Linked DNA regions of Rhinolophus ferrumequinum. The protein of the gene in region 2 interacts with the protein of the main gene of each other region in a biochemical or structural test. Links are inferred from orthologs where the notes say so. Each region holds a gene or a part of one and is shown on either strand. Other genes may lie near its edges. The genes, in order: MBL2 and CALR.

Region 1 (9,308 bases), on a different chromosome or scaffold from region 2:
TGTCTTTAAGTCCAGCCCAAGGTATTTTTCTGGATAAAGGCTTCTAGAGTAGAATTGCCACATGAAATATAGTATGTCCAATTAACTTTGAATTTCAGGTAAACTTTTTTTTTTTTTTAATAAGTATTGCCCATGCAATTTTAGGCCATGCAATTTTGGGCACACAGTTATACTGAAGAAAAAAAAAATGTTGTTCATCTGAAATTCATATGTATATGAGTGTTTTGTTTTTTGTTTGTTTGTTTGTTTGAATTTGTTAAGTCTGGGAAACCTAATCTGAAGAGACATACTGGAAAGGCCTTTGTCCTTTTGGATTAGAATTCTGAAGACATATAATCTGTAATTCTGAATTTCACCCTAATATTAACTTGAGAATAAACAAATATATCTGAGAATATTGCCCCAGGCCGGGAGGGCGAAGGAGGAACAGGTTAGGCCCATTGTCGGGTCTCAACACCAGCGTAATAATGGGAAAGGAAAGTAGGTCCCGTTGTCATTGACACATGTGCACACTGATAGGAAAAACTGTAGGATTCGGGTCTCTGGAGTCAGATTGATTCCCATTTGTAAACTACCTCTACCACTCAGCTCTGTGCGTTTGAGCAAGTTATGTAATTTCTTTTTGCCTCTATTTCTACCCAAAGGTTGTGAGGAATATAAGAAACAACTATCCAGGTGCTAGGAAATTATGTGTATTTCATAAATATTTGTTGCTGTCCACCTTCCCAAACTTTAAGCTGCCTGAAAAGTAAGAGAGAGAAGGCTTACAGTTTTTCATACGGTCCAATTCTGATCGCAGAGCTTTTCTTTCTGAAGCAGCCAGGCCATTATCACAATCTAGGAAATTAAAACAAAGTGAAAGAGCATTGTTGAGAAAGGGTTTCAGAACTACAAGCAGGTAGGGTATCTTTATCAAAAAATATATATATATATATATATTTTTTTGTTTCTTTTACATTGATATTTGCTCTTTGAAAAAATTAAATATATATGTATATAGCTGTATATGTATATATAGCTATATATATGTATATATATACACACATACATATATATACATATATATGTATATATGTATGTGTGTGTGTGTGTGTATATATATATATATATATACACACACACACAGAGAGAGAGAGAGAGAGGAAAGAGAGAGAGAATAAGGAAAAGTATCTCTATTCTCATCCATCCCAAAACATCACTCTTCGTCTGTTGAGTATATCCATAGACACGTAAAGCATACATACACACTCACATGCAAATGCACATACATGCACTCCCTGATGACTTTGTATGATAGCACTCCATACACCAAGCTATTCACTAATTCTTGTTTTTCCCAAATAAACAGCTCTATCATAGATTAGGGGAAAAAAAAAAACAAAAAAACAAACCTCTTGGGAAATTATTATGTGATGGTGAATATCAACTAAAAGATTACAGGGTTTTTGTATTTAGGGAGGTTTTGTTTTTGTTGCTTTTTTGTTTTGTTTTTGTTTTTCCAGGGTTTGTTCTATTAATCAGCAAACCAAGATTTTTGTGAATTGCCCATTATTTAAGTCTGTGTGTAGGGGAGAGGGAGGGCAGCAAGCCATGTGTGATAGATAGCAAAAATGGCTTCAGTGTGGTGTATCTTTTTCATTAAGAAGTGGAGCCTATTTTCCCACTCCTTGAATCTGGGATGGCCTTGTGACTTGTTTTGACCATTAGAATGTGACAGAGGCAATAATGTACATGTCCTAAGCCTTCAGAAGGTCTTAAAGCTTCTATTCTTTCCACTCCTCGGAATCTTGTAATCACCTCTATGGGAACAAGCCCAGGCTAGCTTGTTGGAGGATGAGGGACCTGTGGCTCACTCCGCCTGATAACTAAACAACAGCAAGACTTGTAAGTGTGACCATTGGTCATCAGTTGACCACAGACACGAGTGAATCCAGCAGAGACCAACAGAAAAATCACTCAGTGGATCCACAGAATTGCTTCTGTGGCTGTGTTTTTGTTTTGTTTTTTGTATGTTTGTTCCTCATGAAGTAAAAGATAACTGACATACCATGTATATACTGCTGTTGTGAAAATAGACATGACAAGCCTTACACATAAATGGCCTATTTTCTCCCTTTTGGACCAGAGCCTCACATTGTTTCAGCTAAAGGGAGTCAGGGCCCAGCGCCTCTCGGGATGCCTGGTGAAGGGGTGGCCCTGAAGAGTCTATAAGTCTGTACTTAGCACAGGTAGGAATCCCCTGAGGCTCTAAGTAATCTAAAGAGAGCTGAGGGTGCTGGGTCAGAAAGCAGAATTGAGCATCTTCCATCAAAGCAGCAGGAGAAGGGGCATCTCTCATCAGGTACTCAAAGTCCCAGGATTTAGGGTGTCCTTAACCTAGATCTTGCTGAGGTAAGCTCCTTACCTGGACATTTTCCGGGGTCTCCTTTTTGGCCTACTGTTCCTGGTAACCCAGGAGGCCCTGGGATTCCTTGAGGCCCCAACTTTCCAGGAGGGCCCTGTAAGCCTCTGAGTCCTTGGCCTGTTGGAAGACGGAGGGAACATAAATCGATATCTGTGTTGTTGCTCTATTTCTCCAAGAGTTTGACGTCTAATCCCTTCCCAGGAGAAAGGAGACACTAATCCAGGACCAATTTTTCTAAACTACTACTAATGACCCAGAGAAGAAAATCCTCCTATGTCCCATGGGATGGCCAACTCCCTAAGCAAGTAGGAAAACCGTGTGTCACCAACTCCTGTGTGGAAGTCTGGGATGCTAGAGAGTCAGAGCTATAATTGTATTGTGAATTATAATATGTAGTTGAGAGAAATGCAACCTGAATACGTAGGGCAGTATTCTCCTTATATGCCCAGGCAGTTTTGTCTGGAAGGTAAAGAGTCACAGAGCTAGAACAGCCCAGTTGTACCTGGTTCTCCCTTTTCTCCCTTGGCACCATCACGCCCATCTTTTCCTGGGAAGCCGTTGATGCCTGGAGAACCACAGGTGATCACAGGGCATGTCTTTTGGACGTTATCACAGGATTCTGTTTCTGAACAAGATGCTGTCGCCATACTCAGGAGAAGGAGAGAAAGCGATGGAAACAGGGACATGGTCCTCACCTTGGTGTGCAGAAAGTCAAGGAAGATTCTCTCATCTTGTTCAGCTAATCAACACATATTTACCAAATATTTCCTCTGTCCTGTTACCTGTTCTGAGTGGAGGTGATGTAGAGATGGATAAACCATTCCTGCTCCCTTACTGGGGATTTGGAAAAGTAAATAATCTGACATTGTGTGATTAACAAATGTAGGCCCAACGACATGCAATGGGGACTCTAAGGAGGGGTCATGTGTGCCCATGCCCCTGGTATCACCACTAGAATTCATGAGTAGGCTTTCCATGTCATTTGTGAGAGCAAATGGGCCTACACATTGCCAGCACATTCATGCCTGTTAGCTTAGAGGGTAGAAGTGAATGGAGACCAGGAACCTGTCGGAGCTCATCCTTTCCCCATCTCTGCACTTTGGGCTCATCTGTCACCCACATCCCATCCTCCTATCTGGGCAAAGTTAATCAACATTGACTCAGTGGCAGGCACCAAGCTGCCGACTGATGATCCAGACAGGAAGAGTCACTATTCGTCACTAGCCCAGCCCAGAATTAACCTGAGTTTGCTTCGTCTTGAGGTTTTAGTTCCCATGCAAGCGAGACTTACCAGGGGTAGCATTTTCTCTAGAAACCTCTCACTACCTTGGCCCTAGCAGGGTGCCAGATCTCTCTCCAGTTCCTGGAAGGACTTTTCTTGTGTTCTGTGAGTCAAAAACATTGGCAATTAGACCACCTTCCTTGACTGCCCTTCCCATTTCTCAATGTTAGCATTTCATCTGTCCTTCAAAGCTCTCTTTCAAAGCCGTCCTTCCTCAGGAAACCTCAGTAGCCCAGCTTTGTGGGTCTAATCCTTCATGGCTCTCTTTGAAAATAAAGGCAGTCTCATTTCCAAATGGTCAGGTAAATCCAGGAAAGTCACAGGTGCCCCGACGTAAGCAGAGAAAGAAGCACACCCTGCATGGCTTCTGCCTGTCATCTCCCCACCTCCACCCCACCAGAAAGTGCCCCTCTAGGCCTCCAAGTTCAAGTCAAGCCCCTAGACAAATCCATACCCTGGAAAGGACTTACTAGGGCTTCTGCAAAGCAAGGAGGCAGAGACAAGGAAGCTGGCCCTCCAGCCAGGGGCTCTGGCAGTTGCCTCAGGGTGAGGAAGGAGGCTGGACTTGGCAATGGCAGGGCCCAATCACCTTGTACACTGGCAGAGTAGGCCTGGCCTTCAACCCCAGATTAATAAACAACTTTTCTTAGGGCTGCACCAAACTCTCCTTAGCATTTCCCAGAGGTTCTGACATTTTGTTCAACAGCTATTTGCTTTAATACTGCACCAATCTTCCTGCAAATTGCCATCCGTTCTGGCAGTTCTCGTTGCTGAGACGCTGTAAGTAGGCTCACGTGATACGTCCTTGTTTCTAATAGAGAAACCTAACAATACCCAGGAATGTACCCACATGTTTGTGCACACCAATTATACACACAAACATGTGCATGTGCACACACACACACACACACACATCTGTGAAAGCACAGCAGAACCTTGCTGCCTTGAACACACCAAGACCACCCCTGCCTCAGGCTCTCCACTTGACATTCTCCTAGCCTGCACATGCCCGCCACTGTGTCACTGGCTGGCTCTTTCTTCTATCCCAATACCCCTGTCTCAGAGAAACCTGTCTCAATCAGTCCCACCGAGCGACTCTCTATCGTCTTAGCTTGCTTTATTTTCTTTCATATTACATACATTTCATGGTATTATATTCTAGCTATTTACCTTTTTAATTTTGTTGTTGTGTTAAAATATGCATAGCATAATTTTTATCATTTTGACTATTAAGTGTACAATTCATCAGCATTAACTACATTCACTTTGTTGTGTAACCATGACCACTATTCATTTGCAGAACTTTTTCATCTTCCCTAAATGAAACTCTGTACCCATTAAACACCAATGTCCAGCCCCCCCCACCCCCGTCCTCTGGGTACAACTGTTCTACGTTTTGTCTCTATGAATTTGACTACTCTAGGTACTTATGTTAGTGGAATCATACTACATTTCTGTTTCTGTGACAGGCTTATTTCATTTATAATCATGTCTTCAGGGTGCATCCATGTTGTAGCATATATCAGGATTTCCTTCCTTTTTAAAGCCGAGTAATAATTTTATTATACGCAAACATCACATTTTGGAAGCTTCATTTTTAATAGCCAAAAAATCTGGAACTAATCCAATTATCCTTCAACAAGTGAATGGCTAAATAAACTGTGGAAAAATCACAGGAAAAAAAAAAAGAATGCTGGTAAATAATGTTTAAATCCAAATAAGATTAGTATCTTGTTATATTGCTCTGATGCCAATTTCCTGGTTTTGGTACTTGTACTATGGTATGTTAGAACCTATCATTGGTGAATGATGGATGAAGAGTACATGATACCTTTCTTGATTATTTATTCAACTTATATGTGAGACTAAAATTATTTCAAAAAAAACGTTTTCCAAAGGGAGTCTCAAGGAAGTTGTGGATGTTCCAAATATTATTCCTGCTTCCTTCCAAGTTTCACATTGTGACTAGTCTGTGCAATGGCTTGAAAGTGAGAGAGAGTAGGCCAGGTTCCCAAAGATAATACGATTAATTCTGACTGGGCTTACAGTGTGAGATCCAAGTGGTGAGAGATGAGGCATGAGCAAGTTAACAACAGAATTGTAACTTTTATAAGACTTTGGGCCTCTTCCAAAGGGTCATTAGAGAAATTTCAACAGAAGAGAGAACATCAGCTTTGAAATTTTCAAAGCTTGTTCTGACTACAGTGTGGAGAAGGATTGGAAGGGAGAAGGTATGGGAAAAATCAGACCTGCAAGGAGGTCCTATCATCTAAGCAGCAGATAATGGTGGCCAGAATTAGGATAATGGCAGCTGGATCAAGAAAGTGGACACGTTTGAGAACATCTGCAAGGTATATTTGATGGAACTTGGGAATTGGTTGGATGTGCAATGATGAACAAAAAGAAGGAATTTTTATGGATACACAGGTTTCTGACTTGAATAGCTGAATGCCGTTCAACTGAAATGGAAATAAAGACAAAATAACAATTGCAAGGAGGGGGAGATAATGGGTATCTTGTGGGTAAATGGCTGGAGCCATGTGATGGTGGTCAAGAGGAACAATCTAGAAGGAATGGCACAATACCTTTATGAAGCACAACGGAGTTGATTTTGAACATCATTTTTAATAGACGTGTCATAAAATGTCATGTGAGCTTGGAGTGGTGAGAGAGCCCATCTTGGAAGCCTCACATAGATGTTACAGAGCCATGCTCTAGAGGCCTCCAAACACCAGAAGGAATGTGGGTGAGATTCTCTTCCAGGTCCCTTCCAATTGGACTGTCCTTGGCTTGTGGAGGTCATGGTTTCCCTACATTCTGCTGACTCGTCCCTTCTGCCTGATAAATGTCCAGGGTGGCAGAGAACCACATGCCTAAATCAAATGACAGAGACTAGGAGATTCAGGGCCTATCAAGGCTTCAGGCAACTTGTTCATCTCTCTTCCCGACTCTTTAGCAGCCAAACATTCCTATGGCTCCTGTTCCAAAGTGGCAGGAGGTGAAATGAAGCAGCTGAATCCAGGTCACGTTGGAGGTGTTGGCTTTGATCACCGTGCTTGCTATTATATTATTGGACACTTCGTCCAGACGTCAGGAAGCTGCCCTCCAGGCCCTGACATTTCCTGGAACTGGGCTGGGAAAGGTCGGACATGTAGGTTCGAAGTCAGTCCAACAGCTGAGCCACTGCGCTGAGTGCTGCCCGGCTACGAGCCCCTTCTGCTCTCCACAGTCACCAGCTGGCCTTCTCATCATGAGATACGCGGGAGATGCACCCTGCCTTTGAGAGGCCACTGTGTGCATTTTTTGTGGACCTTGGGCCCGTCCCAGAACTGCCTCCACTCTGGTACCTCCACCAGACATCTACCTTACCTCAAAAGGCTGCAGAGACACTTCCTCTCTGACCTGCCCCACAAAACTCCCTTTCTTCTAGCCAGGGATGGAATCCCAGCTCTGTCACTTCCCAGGTGTGAACTTAGCCAAGTCCCATCTCCTTCGGTTCCTCCATCCCTCATCTGTGAACCAGGATTCCCCTGCCTTTTCTGTGCCATGGAATGTCCTTTTCGGGCCCACGCTCAGCGTGCATGGCATGTAGCCCAGCATGCCAGGGACTTCATTGCCTCCAGGATGACTGCACAAGAGTCTGCTTATCTTAGGAAACAGGTGGGAGGCAAGCAGAGCTGGTGGCTGCTCCATTGGGCAATGGGAGTGGGTGGGGGTGTGGCAGGCCTGGAGCCTACTGTCCCTACTGGGAGGGCTGCTGCTTCCAGAAGATTGTGGGAGACACTTTTAGGGGAGAAGGACCACAGAGAGAATCAGGGCAGAGGTGCAGGAAGGAAGCCTTCTTCTGGGTTTTCCTGGTGACAGGGCTGCGGGACAGGGCTGCAGGACAGGCTGTGGTCGGACCATGCTAAGGTGGCACACTCGCCACCTCGCCCAGCAACCCAGCCTCCGGACTGTGGCTGGGGCAGGGCTCTCAGGGCTGTTCTCATACACACAAGGCGGACCCAACCACTGAGATGCATCCACAAACTGCAGGAGCCCCTTTTTCTTGCAGCAGCTCTCTAGTGCCCTCCAATGTGAAAGCTTATCATGCTCACTTTAAAGACATGCTTACCGGAATTCTGTGTTTTAATACAAAGCATGTGTTGCAGAGTAAATTTGTAGCCATGCGTCCTTCGATAGCTGTCATAGTAGGTTTGTCCTTGTACAGGGTGAGTGCACAAATGCCCTGTGTGTGCCCTCTGTGGGCATATGTAGCATCAGTGATTACTCCAGCCAAGCTCATGGGAGAGGCTGAGAGTCTAGGAGGGCAGAGGGCTGGAACTGGCCGGTTCTAGGCTCTGAGATTGCCTCTGGGCTTCCGTCTGACCAGGCACAAGAGACCCACCAGCTCTAAGACATCCACTGTTACAGACTGAATTTTGTCATTCCTCCCGCCTCCCCCTCCCCCAATTCATATGTTGAAGCCTTAATCCCTAATGTGACTATATTTAGAGGTAGGACCTGTAAGTAACTAATTACAAATAAATGAGGTCATAAGAATAAGGCCCTAATCTGATAGAACTGGTGTCCTTATAAGAAGAGAAAGAGACACCAGGGACTTTTCCTTGTGCATACACACAAAGAGAAAAGACCATGAGAGGACAAAGTGAGAAGGTACAGGGCTGTCTCAGTAGAAATTACCCCTGTTGGCACATTGATCTTGGACTTCCAGCATTCAGAACTGTGAGAAAGTAAATGTTGTTTAAGCCACCCATTCTGGGTATCTTGTGAAGGCAGCCTGAGCTAATACAGACTTAGGTCCGGGGGAACCTAACCAATCCCAAACCGCTCCTATAGACTAGGAAGTTAGGGATACAGGGAAAACTGTCCTGGACAGGAAGGAAGGGGCACTGGAGGCAGTGGGATGGGAAGGGGGAGGGAGTTAAGGAAGATGCTCTGACAGGAAGGCCAGGGGGAGGCTAGTTCCAGCCACTGCTGGCCAAGCTAGATGTCAGCTGCTCCTCTTCCACATTTCCTTGGGTGCCCAGCTACCAGCCCCCCGACCCCCAAGGCAGAAGGAAGGGTAAGGACAGGGAACATACACAGATCTGATTCCATTCCATCCTGACCTGAGATTTGTGACTGAGGCTGACTCTCCCCTTACGAGTCTCCGTCCTCCAGCTGTTAAAGGGTTTTAAAGAAAGCCCTTCAGAACCATAAATATGTTGGAGGGATGGCTAGAATGTAGTATGAATATGGAATCCCTTGCCCTTAAGAAAAATATTCCCCTGACAGAGAACGAGGACCAAGAATGAGGGTTTCCTGTGACAGGTAAGGGAATAGACACTTAGGAGACCCAGAGTAACCAAGCTTGACTGACCCAGGAACAACCTGGACCCCTGTTGACTCCCGTTTAAAGAGAGGTGGAGTGGTGAGGAGGGAGAGTCTGTCCTTTCAGGTTGCTCTGCATGGCTTCCGAGGAGCTATGGTGAGTGACAGGGGAACCCTACCCATGGAGTGAGGGTCATCTCCTAAACAAGGTCCCACAGGGAACCTACAGGTCAGCTCTGCCATCTAGTGGCCAAACTCAGAATCGCAGCAAGCCCACGTCGGTACTGAAGACACCACACGTCCCCGTCC
Region 2 (9,396 bases):
GCCTGGAAAAAAAAGGAAAGTTCTCCAGTCTCATAGAGACATTATTTGGCGCGGCCGGCTGTGCGGCAGGAGCGCTCAGGCCTCAGTTCAGCCCCGGAAATGGCGGTGCGGCCCCTACAGCTCATCCTTGGATGGGCCGGCGGCGGCCTCGTCCTCCTCCTCGTCTTCCTCCTTATCATCCTCGTCCTCGTCCTCGTCTTCCTTGTCATCCTCGTCGTCCTTGTCCGCCTCCTCCTCCTCCTTGCGCTTCCTGTCCTCCTCCTCCTCCTTCAGCCTCTGCTCCTCGTCCTGCTTGTCTTTCATTTGCTTTTCTGCCGCCTGCACAGACCATACACTCAGAACCTGGCCCCCACCTGCCAGCCCTGCCTGCCCCCCCAGCCAAGAACTGGACCCAGGCCCCACCTTTGTGACACCCCACGTCTCATTGCCGAACTCTTCCGCATACGCCTCGTCGTTGGTGATGAGGAAGTTGTCAAAGATGGTGCCAGACTTCACCTGGGAAGGGGAGGATGGATAAAGGGGTGGCCAGAGGGAACACACCACGCTCCTGCCCTTCAGTTCCATAACCACTCCACAATGCCGCAGCCTAACTTCACACTTAAAATACAGGCTGACTGAGTGCAAACCCCAGCTCTGCTATTTCCCACCTACGTGACGTTGGGCTGGTGACTTTTCTATACCTCAGTTTCTTTATCTGTATAATGGGATCTCTTCCTCTTGTTCAAGTATTTTTCTAGCACCTACTATTGGCAGGTACTGTTCTTAGCACAGAAGGTATATTAGTGAATGAAACAAACAAAAATTTGGTCCCCGTACAGCTCATTTTATAAGGGACTATCTACCTTCTAGGTTGTTGGGGGCAGTTAATGAGTTGGTTCACATAAAGGTTCTTGGGGGAGTGCCTAGCATAGCATGTAGAACCTCAAACGAGGTGCTGTGAGAACGCCATAGAAACAGACCAAGAAATTCTTCAAAACAGGACAATTTTGGGGTCAGACCTACCTAGGGTTGGATCCTATCCCTGTCCCTTTCCTTCTGGGTGACCTTGAGCACTTGAGGTCCCCTAGGGATCCTCCTGTTCCCTCCATGTCTCACCTGCCAGAGGTCTAGGCCCAGCACAGCAAAGTTTTCATAGGCATAGATATTGCTATCCGGAGAATACTCAGGGTTGTCGATCTCTGGGTGGATCCAAGTGCCCTTGTAATCTGGGTTGTCAATCTGTCGGGGCTTCCACTCACCCTGCAGAAGAAGGGAACTGGAGGTGAGAAGAGGTCAGCATGCTCCCCACTGTGTACCCCCATCCTGCTCGGGAGCCCCAGGCCCACCTTGTATTCTGGGTTCTGAATCACTGGTGGTTCCCACTCTCCATCCATCTCTTCATCCCAGTCCTCAGGCTTCTTAGCATCAGGGTCAGGGATGTGCTCAGGCTTGTCCCAATCCTGAGGGCACACGAGGAGATCAGAGTCAGCCCAGCTCTCCGCCACCTCCTCCATGGTGGGGACTCCCTGCCCAAGCACCAACCTCAGGTTTGGAGTCTGTGGGGTCATCAATCTTGGCCCGCTCATCCCAGTCTTCAGGCTTGGAAGCATCAGGATCCTTTATCTTCTTAGGTGGCAAGAAGTCCCAATCGTCTTCCAGGGAGCCCGACTCCACCTGGCTGTTGTCAATCTTCACCTCATAGGTATTATCCGGCCGAACGATCAGTGTGTACAGGTGTGTGAATTCATCATCCTGAAGAGGGCGGGAAGTAAGTGGCCCCACCCACCAGGCTGGCCTCTGAGCCTCCCCAGGCAGCCATTTGTCACCACCCCAGGCACACCTTGCAACGGATATCCTTATTGATTAGCACATTCTTGCCCTTGTAGTTGAAGATGACATGAACCTTCTTGGTGCCCGGGCCACAGATGTCAGGGCCTAGGTGAGAAGCAGGTCCAGTTAAGGGCCAAACCCTGCCCACCATAGCCAGCCCCCGCCCCCTACCCCGCCATTCTTCACAAAAGGAAAACCTCTTAAACTTAGGTCTGTAAAGACTCAAGAGACAGGACTCAGACACTGACTGTCTCTAAGGGACAGTCTCTAAGGTGTCTCTAAGGTGGAGCCTTGGAAAAAAAAAAAATTCATGCTCTAGAATACAGTACCCTCACTTGTAAAATTGGAAAATGCCTATGTAAGATCACACATATTAACAGACTTAGACCAATAATAACAATGCAATAAATTGCTGCTGTGATTATCCCCTCACCTTACCCTTCAAAGAAAAGCCTATGTGTTTCCTGTGCTTTCAAGACCACCTGTCATGGGATACAAGGAACCTATGGGATCTCAGTCTCCCTCTAACTAATCAGAGGTCAGCACCAGGGTGGGGCCCCTCACCAAACATAATGTTGTATTCAGAGTCTCCGTGCATGTCTGTCTGTTCCAAACTATCTGGAAATAGCTTCACATAGCCGCCCCCACAGTCGATGTTCTGCTCGTGTTTCACGGTGAACTGCACCACCAATGTCTGGTCCTTGTTGCTGAAGGGCTCAAATCTGGTCGACAGGGCGTAAAAGCGGGCATCCTGGCTCGTCTGCAGCCCTAGCAGGGGATGGTAGTGAGGTCACAGCTGGCCCCAACCCCCAGGGAACCCTAAGAATCAAAGATACAGACGACTCTCCCCACTTCCTCCGCCTGCCCTGCTCCTGGAGATGCCCAGGCTGTGCAGTGCCTAGTACTTCCTCCAGGAAGTCCTCCTGGATCTGATGACCTATACCCATGCTCTTACCTTTATCTTTGTCCAGATCACCGTAGAACTTGCCGGCACTGAGGACGAATTTGCCAAAATCCGTTTTGTGTTTGGATTCAATCCAGCGGTTGGTCCACCCGTCTACGGGATCAGAGGGGCAGGTCAGCGCGGCTTTGCTGATTCCGCCCAACACCACCACCAAATATCTGCCAGGAGCCACTAACTGCTGCAGGCAAAGACATCTCCCTCCCTCTTGAGTGCCCCCATCCCAACCACTAGTTTGACACCTCCAGTGGCTTAAAAGATTCTCAGGCGAACCCTAACTCCCGACGCGGGAGGCCACTGCGCCCTCCATGTTCCCCAGGGACGCGGAAAGAAGGATAGGCTGCGGCTCTTGTCCCCGGGGACCACCGTGTTGGTCCTCAGAGCAATAATTACAGGCCACAACGCAGATCTGGGCTGGGGGGCCGGTCGCATCGTCGGGGCGGCCTCGAGGCGTTACCTCCGTCTAGAAACTGCTCCTTTAAGTAGACGACGGGTTCGGCGGCAGCCAGGCCGAGAAGGCAGAGCAGCAGCGGCACAGGTAGCAGCATGGCGGGCCGAGGGGGCGGCAGAGCGCGGGGCCCTTTAAGTCGTTCGTCGGACAGCACCTCTGCAGCAGGGACGGACGCTAGCTCTGGCCGCGCGCTTTTATAGCCGACCGACCCTTAAACCAACCTGGCCCTGCCTCTTGGCCCGCCCTCCACATCTTTTCATTGGTCAATGGCCACGTTTCTGCTTTCCCATTGGGCCCTCTTCGGCTCAGCATGTTCGGCTGTGCCTCGGAACACTGGGTTCCCAGATGGCCGATTTCTATTGGCCGCACCGCTCGCCAATGAGGGTCGACCACGCGTTGTGGGGGACGCCCACCGGTGGGGTAGGGGCCTCCAACTCCTCAGATCAGGTCATGTGACCACTCTTCGGCCCAACCCCGCCCTCGCGCCCGTGCATTTTTCTGGATTTGGGCATTTAAAGAACCCGCGCGAGCGCAGGTGTCACTGCGCTGGACTAGGACCCTACCCCAACGTCGCCTTCTCTCATCCTCTCCGTGGGGTGTGGTGGGCAGGATTTTACTAGTCTCTCTACCCTGCATTTGGGGAATTCTCACTACGACGCGCTGTTTCTCTCTTAGCCTTGCCCCCCCACACACACACACAGGCTGAGGCAGAGGGCACCAGAGCCCAGGGTCTGGGACCCTGGAGCTTCACTTCACTCCGGCGCAACAGCCGTGCAGTCCAGCGGAGAGAGTGCTAGCTCTCTCTTCTGTGCGGTCCCTAGTGTCTGGTAGCCTGGTGGACTGCTGCTGTGTGAGCTGGGGCAAGTCACTTAGACTCTGAAGTCACAGGAGTTCCTGGGAGGCTAGGAGGAGCGACCCAGGGCAGCTGCTGCTTAGCAGAAATGCTTTCAAAGTTTTTTAAGGATGGCCTGGGACAGACAGAAGAAAACCCAGAAGGCTCAAAGACATGACTATAGGATTTGACTCCTAGGGAGGGATAGGGTTGTTCCTTAGTTGCAGCCTCTCCTTTACCCTCCACCCCCATCCAGAAAATGAAAGGGGTCTCTGCCTTGTGGTCTCCCACAAACGGCCTGGCTTTTGCAATTAAACGGCTAAAGAAGAGAGGACAGGGGGTTCCGTTAAACGGGAGGGAAAATAAGAGACAGATGGTGGGGAAGATAAGGTCCGAGGGAGAGGGGTAGGACCCCTGAGTCTAGAGGCTTCTTCTGAAGCCAGAAACCATGTGACTGACAGTGTGGGACACCAGCTCCCTGCCTCAAGTCTGCAGGAAAGAGGAAGGAGGGCTGGGGTTTTCCCAAACTGAGCAAACAAGCCCTAGACCTGGGAACTTGGGAATGGCCTGCAGAAGGGGGAAAGGGAAGGAATCCTGGCAAAAGACTGAGGAGGTGGTACTTCCACACTAGTGATGAGAACTCAGAAAAGGGAAGCAGGAGGAGTCTTGGAGAAGTTGGGATTCTGACCCTTCCCCCAGGCAGTATCCGGTATGGCCCAACCTGGCCCCCCTTATGAGGAGCCTCCAATCTAGGATGATCACTTCAGGCCTGTCACTGACCCTCCTGCCTTCCCTCCAACCAAGTGTCATGGACACATGGGTTTGGTGCTTCCTGCCTGAGAGTAGACGCTGTGCTTGTTCACTTTACCATCCCCTGGTGTCTCAAGCAGCACCTGGCACACAACAGGCTTACAACCTATTTGATCTATGACAGAAGGAAGGACTCTTGAGGAAATTAAACAAAAATGAGGAAAGTGAAGGAACAAAAGGGATTTTGAGGAATGCATTCTGAAATTTTTTTATCAGGACTTCACTGTAGGGTCGGGATTAGGGGATATTAGTAACCTCATTTTCTAGGCTCAAATAACAATTGTAATGGTTAAATGAGTAAATGCATACTGCTTAGAATAGTGCCTGACACACAATCCACATGCAATTTAGTATTAAATACTGCGTACACGCATGGGCATTATTTCACTTAATTCTCACAATAACCTGGGCTCATATTATCTACATGCAGATGAGGAAACTGAAGCATGGGAAGATTAAGAGATTTGGCTGAGTGACATAAATGGCAGATCTGGGATTAGAATGTACTTCTGCTATCTAATATAGTCTCCACTGGCCACATGTTACTATTGCCCATTTGAATTTCAAGACTTAATATGAAAAAGAAGGGTAAAATATTTCATTAGTAATTTTATATCAAGTGTTTAACTGATAAATGGATGTATCAGAATTGGTAAGTTCTTCAAATTAATTTCACCCATTTTGTTTTTAATGTTGCTGCTAGAAAATTTTAAATTACATTAATGTCTCACATTATACGAGTATATCTGTATGCCAGCGTTGATTTAGACCATGCGTTATTGCCCTGACATTGATCTCAAAGCATGGGTAGGAGGTTGGGTGGGATCTGGGGTGTTTATAATTTCTGACTCCATCTCCACCAGCTTCTTGTACAACCATAGGCAAATCATATCACCTTCTGAGCCTTAGTTTCCACATTTGTTACATGGGGATTATACCAGTATCTACATCATAAAGTTTTGGGGAAAATGAAATAACACACGTGCACTACTTAACACTGGACGGGGCACACGGGTTAATGTTCATACAGGTTAGGTACTACCTGGACTGCAACTATTATGAGGAGAGTCCCTTTCCTATCTATAAATACGGATGGTCCCTATCCAACCTCCCTTTGAAAATTTAAAAGTAGCTGATACCAGTAGAATAACTTATCTCTGGAGCCCACCACCCACCGCCCTTCCATAGGGTAAGAGAGAATTCCAGAAGGGTTGGGGGCTCCAAAGCCCAGAGAGGGTTGAGAAGTCCAAGGTCATACAGCCCGCTGCAGCTGGGGCTGGATGAAAGTTAAAAACAACGCTGTAATTCTATCCTTGAGGTCATCAATTTGACTTCTCACGTCAAACAGACACCACTAGTCCAGCCAAGGCAGAAGGACTGAGTCCCTTCCACCCTTTGAGGCCAATTGACACACTCAAGATGGCGAAGCCCTGAGCCCTGAAACACAGACCACCACATTCAAGATGGCGGGATCCGCTTCGGCGCCGGTTCCGGTTCCGGTGGCTCTAGCTCCGGCCGGTACACGCGGAGCGCGCTGGGAGTAGCTATGGCGGATGGTCCGGTGGCGGAGGCATTGCTGCGGCGCCTGGAGGCGGCGGATGGCGGCCTGGACAGCGCGGAACTGGCGGCCGAGCTGGGTGTGGAGCACCAGGCCCTGGTGGGCACCGTAAAGAGCCTGCAGGCGTTGGGCGAGGTGAGCCGAACCCGTGATGCCTGGCTGCTGGCTTTGGCACCTGCAGTTCCCGTGTCAGGAGGGCCCTGACTCCAGGCCATACTGTCTCAGGCCTGCGTAGGGTTAACTGTAAGTGTTCATTTCGGGGTGTGCAGGCGGGAAAGCAGGAACGAGTGAGGGCCCCGGGCGCACAGACGTTCCTTATGCAGGAAACGTCTGTTAAAGGCATGATTAACGTGGTGGTGGTTACCATGGTGGACAAAGAAGACGCGGTCGCCACCCTCACGGAGATTGCGGTCTGATAGGGAAGATACTCAAGTGACCAGAGTGATGGAGGAAGCACAGGGAACCCAGAGGTGACAGCTGACCCAGCCATGGGGGTGAGGGAGAGTGTCCCAGAGGAGATGACAGTTGAGTCGGGTCTCTGTACTGAGGAGGAAAACCATAGCGCTTTAGGGATCCATTGGGAGTTGGGGGTCAGGTGGTGAGAAAGACCGCAGAGCCAGAATTTGCAAGGCCTTGTAGATCCCTCACAGGGATACTGGGGAGCCATGGCAGGAGCTGGAGCTAGTCAGATATGTGTGCTGCTTACATGACTTTTGGAAAGAACTGGCAGGGGGAGGATTGGAGATGAGGGACAAGGGCAGAGGCTGGCACATCCCCAAACTACAGGGCATGGTGTTTGGCTGTAGGGAGGCAGCTAGAATGGAGAGGTGATTCAGGAGAGGGTATGAAATGAGATTCATGGCAAGGCAGGGGGAGCACAGATGAAGCCCCGCCTTCTGACTTGGATAAGTGAAGCATGATGGAGCCACAGGAGGAGGATGCTGACAGGCCTGTGGGCCACCCAAGAGGCCAGATCCAGGAGGCAAAGACTCAGAACACAGATCTGGGCTGTTCATTCATGAAGCTCGTGTTCTGTGTCCCACTCTGTTCTCAGCTTTATTTATGATTCATTCCTTACCATAACCGTAGAACGGTGGCAGTGTTATTATTCCTATTTGGCAGATGTGACCACTCCTGAATACTTGGTCAGTGTCACTAGAAGGGACAGGCAAACTTGGATTTGAAATTAGGCACTCATGGACAGCAACAACAACAAAAGACATTAGGTGTCGGGCTGCAGAGCCCAAGGTTGTCAGTGAGGGAAAGGGATTGAAGCTATGGTGTGTGGGGTGACAGTATCTTGATCTACGTGAAATTGACGTTTGTGTAGGTCACAGAGGGTTAAATAATGGTTCCTTAATGTGGTTCAAATCACATCTTCCCCAAGTTAAAAAAAAATCTTTCCTAGGTTCAAAAGTGATAGAAAGAATGTGTTCTCTGCCAGGTATCATCTTTAGTACTTTAACTCAACTTGGGAGTTAGAACCATATTTATCGTTGTCCCTGTGTCTAGAAGGGAAACTCAACAAGAGGAGCCCACTCGGCTCCGGAAGTGGTGCAGCTGGGATGTAAAGCTAGCTAGTTAGCTTCAGTGGTTGTGCTTTATGTTGGCCCTAGTGCGGCTGCGGCAAGGGTGTGCTGGCTCTGAACCCTGTCCTCTCCTATGCCCCCTTTGCCCTGCAGATCATCGAGGCTGAGCTCCGCTCCACCAAGCGCTGGGAGCTTACGGTCGAGGGCGAGGAGATTGCCCGGGAAGGCAGCCATGAGGCCCGGGTGTTTCATAGCGTCCCCCCGGAGGGCCTGGCCCAAAGCGAGCTCATGGTAGGGGCTGGGGGGCGGACGGGTCCTAGGGAGGTGATGGGGTGAAGGCAGTCCTCATGCCCCGCTCACTGCAGCCTTGTTTTCCCAGCGACTGCCCAGCGGCAAGGTGGGCTTCAGCAAGGCCATGTCCAACAAGTGGATCCGCGTGGACAAGAGCACTGCTGATGGGCCCCGGGTGTTCCGAGTGGTGAGTCCCTGCGGGTAGGTGGGTGAGCCCCTGGTCCTCACGGTCCCTCATGCCCATCATTACAATAGGTGGACAGTGTGGAGGATGAGGTGCAGCGGCGGCTCCAGCTGGTCCGGGGTGGACAGGCCGAGAAGCTGGGTGAGAAGGAAAGGAGTGAGCTCAAGAAGAGGAAACTGCTGACGGAAGTGTGAGTGGCTGCCACTCCCAGGCTCAGACCCATGTCACCTGTGTGGCCGTGGGGTAGGGGGAGGGAAGGGAGAGCCCCTCTCCCCACCTGGGCCTCGGTGCTCTCAGTCGCCTCCCAGCTTCCCTTCACACTGTGGTTGTCAAGCACACAGGCCAGACTCGTGCCACCTCAGGGCTTTGGCACATGTTGTGCCTTCTGCCAAGAATGATCTTTCTACTGATCTTCAAGGCAGGCCCTGGCATCCGACTTCTGCTCATGTGTCGCCCTACAGGGGCCACCTTTTCTCCCTGTGAGTTCCACAAAAGCCGTTCACTCCTAGTCTCTGTCTCTTGCTCCCTGTTTATTTCCTTCACAGTCCTAAGTACTGTCTAAAATTGATTGAATGCTGGGACCTGGACAGGCTGGGTTCTCTGCTCCCAGGGCTGATGTCCCCTTCGAGTAGACACCAAGTGGACGCAGGCTGCCTGATCCAAGTTCTGGCTCTGCCGTTTACTAGCTCTGTGACCTTGGCCAAGTAACCTAATCTTTCTGGGCCTCAGTTTTTCATCTATAAAATGGCCCCCTTTCACAAGATTGTGGGGCAACTTCAGCGGAACAGAGCCTGGCACAGAATAACATTTACCTAAACTTTACCTATTAGTTAAAACAAATAACAAAACATTACCTATTATTACTTTCAGCTGTATGCTTAGTGCCTTGAACAGGCCCTGACACATGGTAGGCTCTCAAGTGTTGTTGAATGAATAACTGAATGAACACAGGACGTAGGTAGGAGGCAAAT

The links.
Region 1: the proteins of CALR (region 2) and MBL2 form a complex in vitro, tested with the Homo sapiens proteins (2 studies listed by BioGRID and IntAct). The link is inferred for Rhinolophus ferrumequinum from reciprocal best matches to the Homo sapiens genes CALR and MBL2.

What each region holds. Positions count from the first base shown.
Region 1 is NC_046299.1:35,533,620-35,542,927, forward strand, and holds the start of MBL2 (mannose-binding protein C), read right to left. Parts: upstream 3,784-9,308; 5' UTR 3,708-3,783; coding exon 3,696-3,707; intron 3,100-3,695; coding exon 2,907-3,099; intron 2,522-2,906; coding exon 2,405-2,521; intron 838-2,404; coding exon 769-837; intron 1-768. UniProt on the Homo sapiens protein: Calcium-dependent lectin involved in innate immune defense. Binds mannose, fucose and N-acetylglucosamine on different microorganisms and activates the lectin complement pathway.
Region 2 is NC_046301.1:48,679,883-48,689,278, forward strand, and holds the start of CALR (calreticulin), read right to left. Parts: upstream 3,403-9,396; 5' UTR 3,319-3,402; coding exon 3,228-3,318; intron 2,867-3,227; coding exon 2,765-2,866; intron 2,578-2,764; coding exon 2,374-2,577; intron 1,915-2,373; coding exon 1,820-1,914; intron 1,732-1,819; coding exon 1,522-1,731; intron 1,440-1,521; coding exon 1,326-1,439; intron 1,240-1,325; coding exon 1,096-1,239; intron 496-1,095; coding exon 403-495; intron 319-402; coding exon 115-318; 3' UTR 1-114. Other genes in the region: FARSA (phenylalanine--tRNA ligase alpha subunit), read left to right, coding at 6,410-6,556, 8,104-8,241, 8,330-8,428, 8,497-8,615. UniProt on the Homo sapiens protein: Calcium-binding chaperone that promotes folding, oligomeric assembly and quality control in the endoplasmic reticulum (ER) via the calreticulin/calnexin cycle.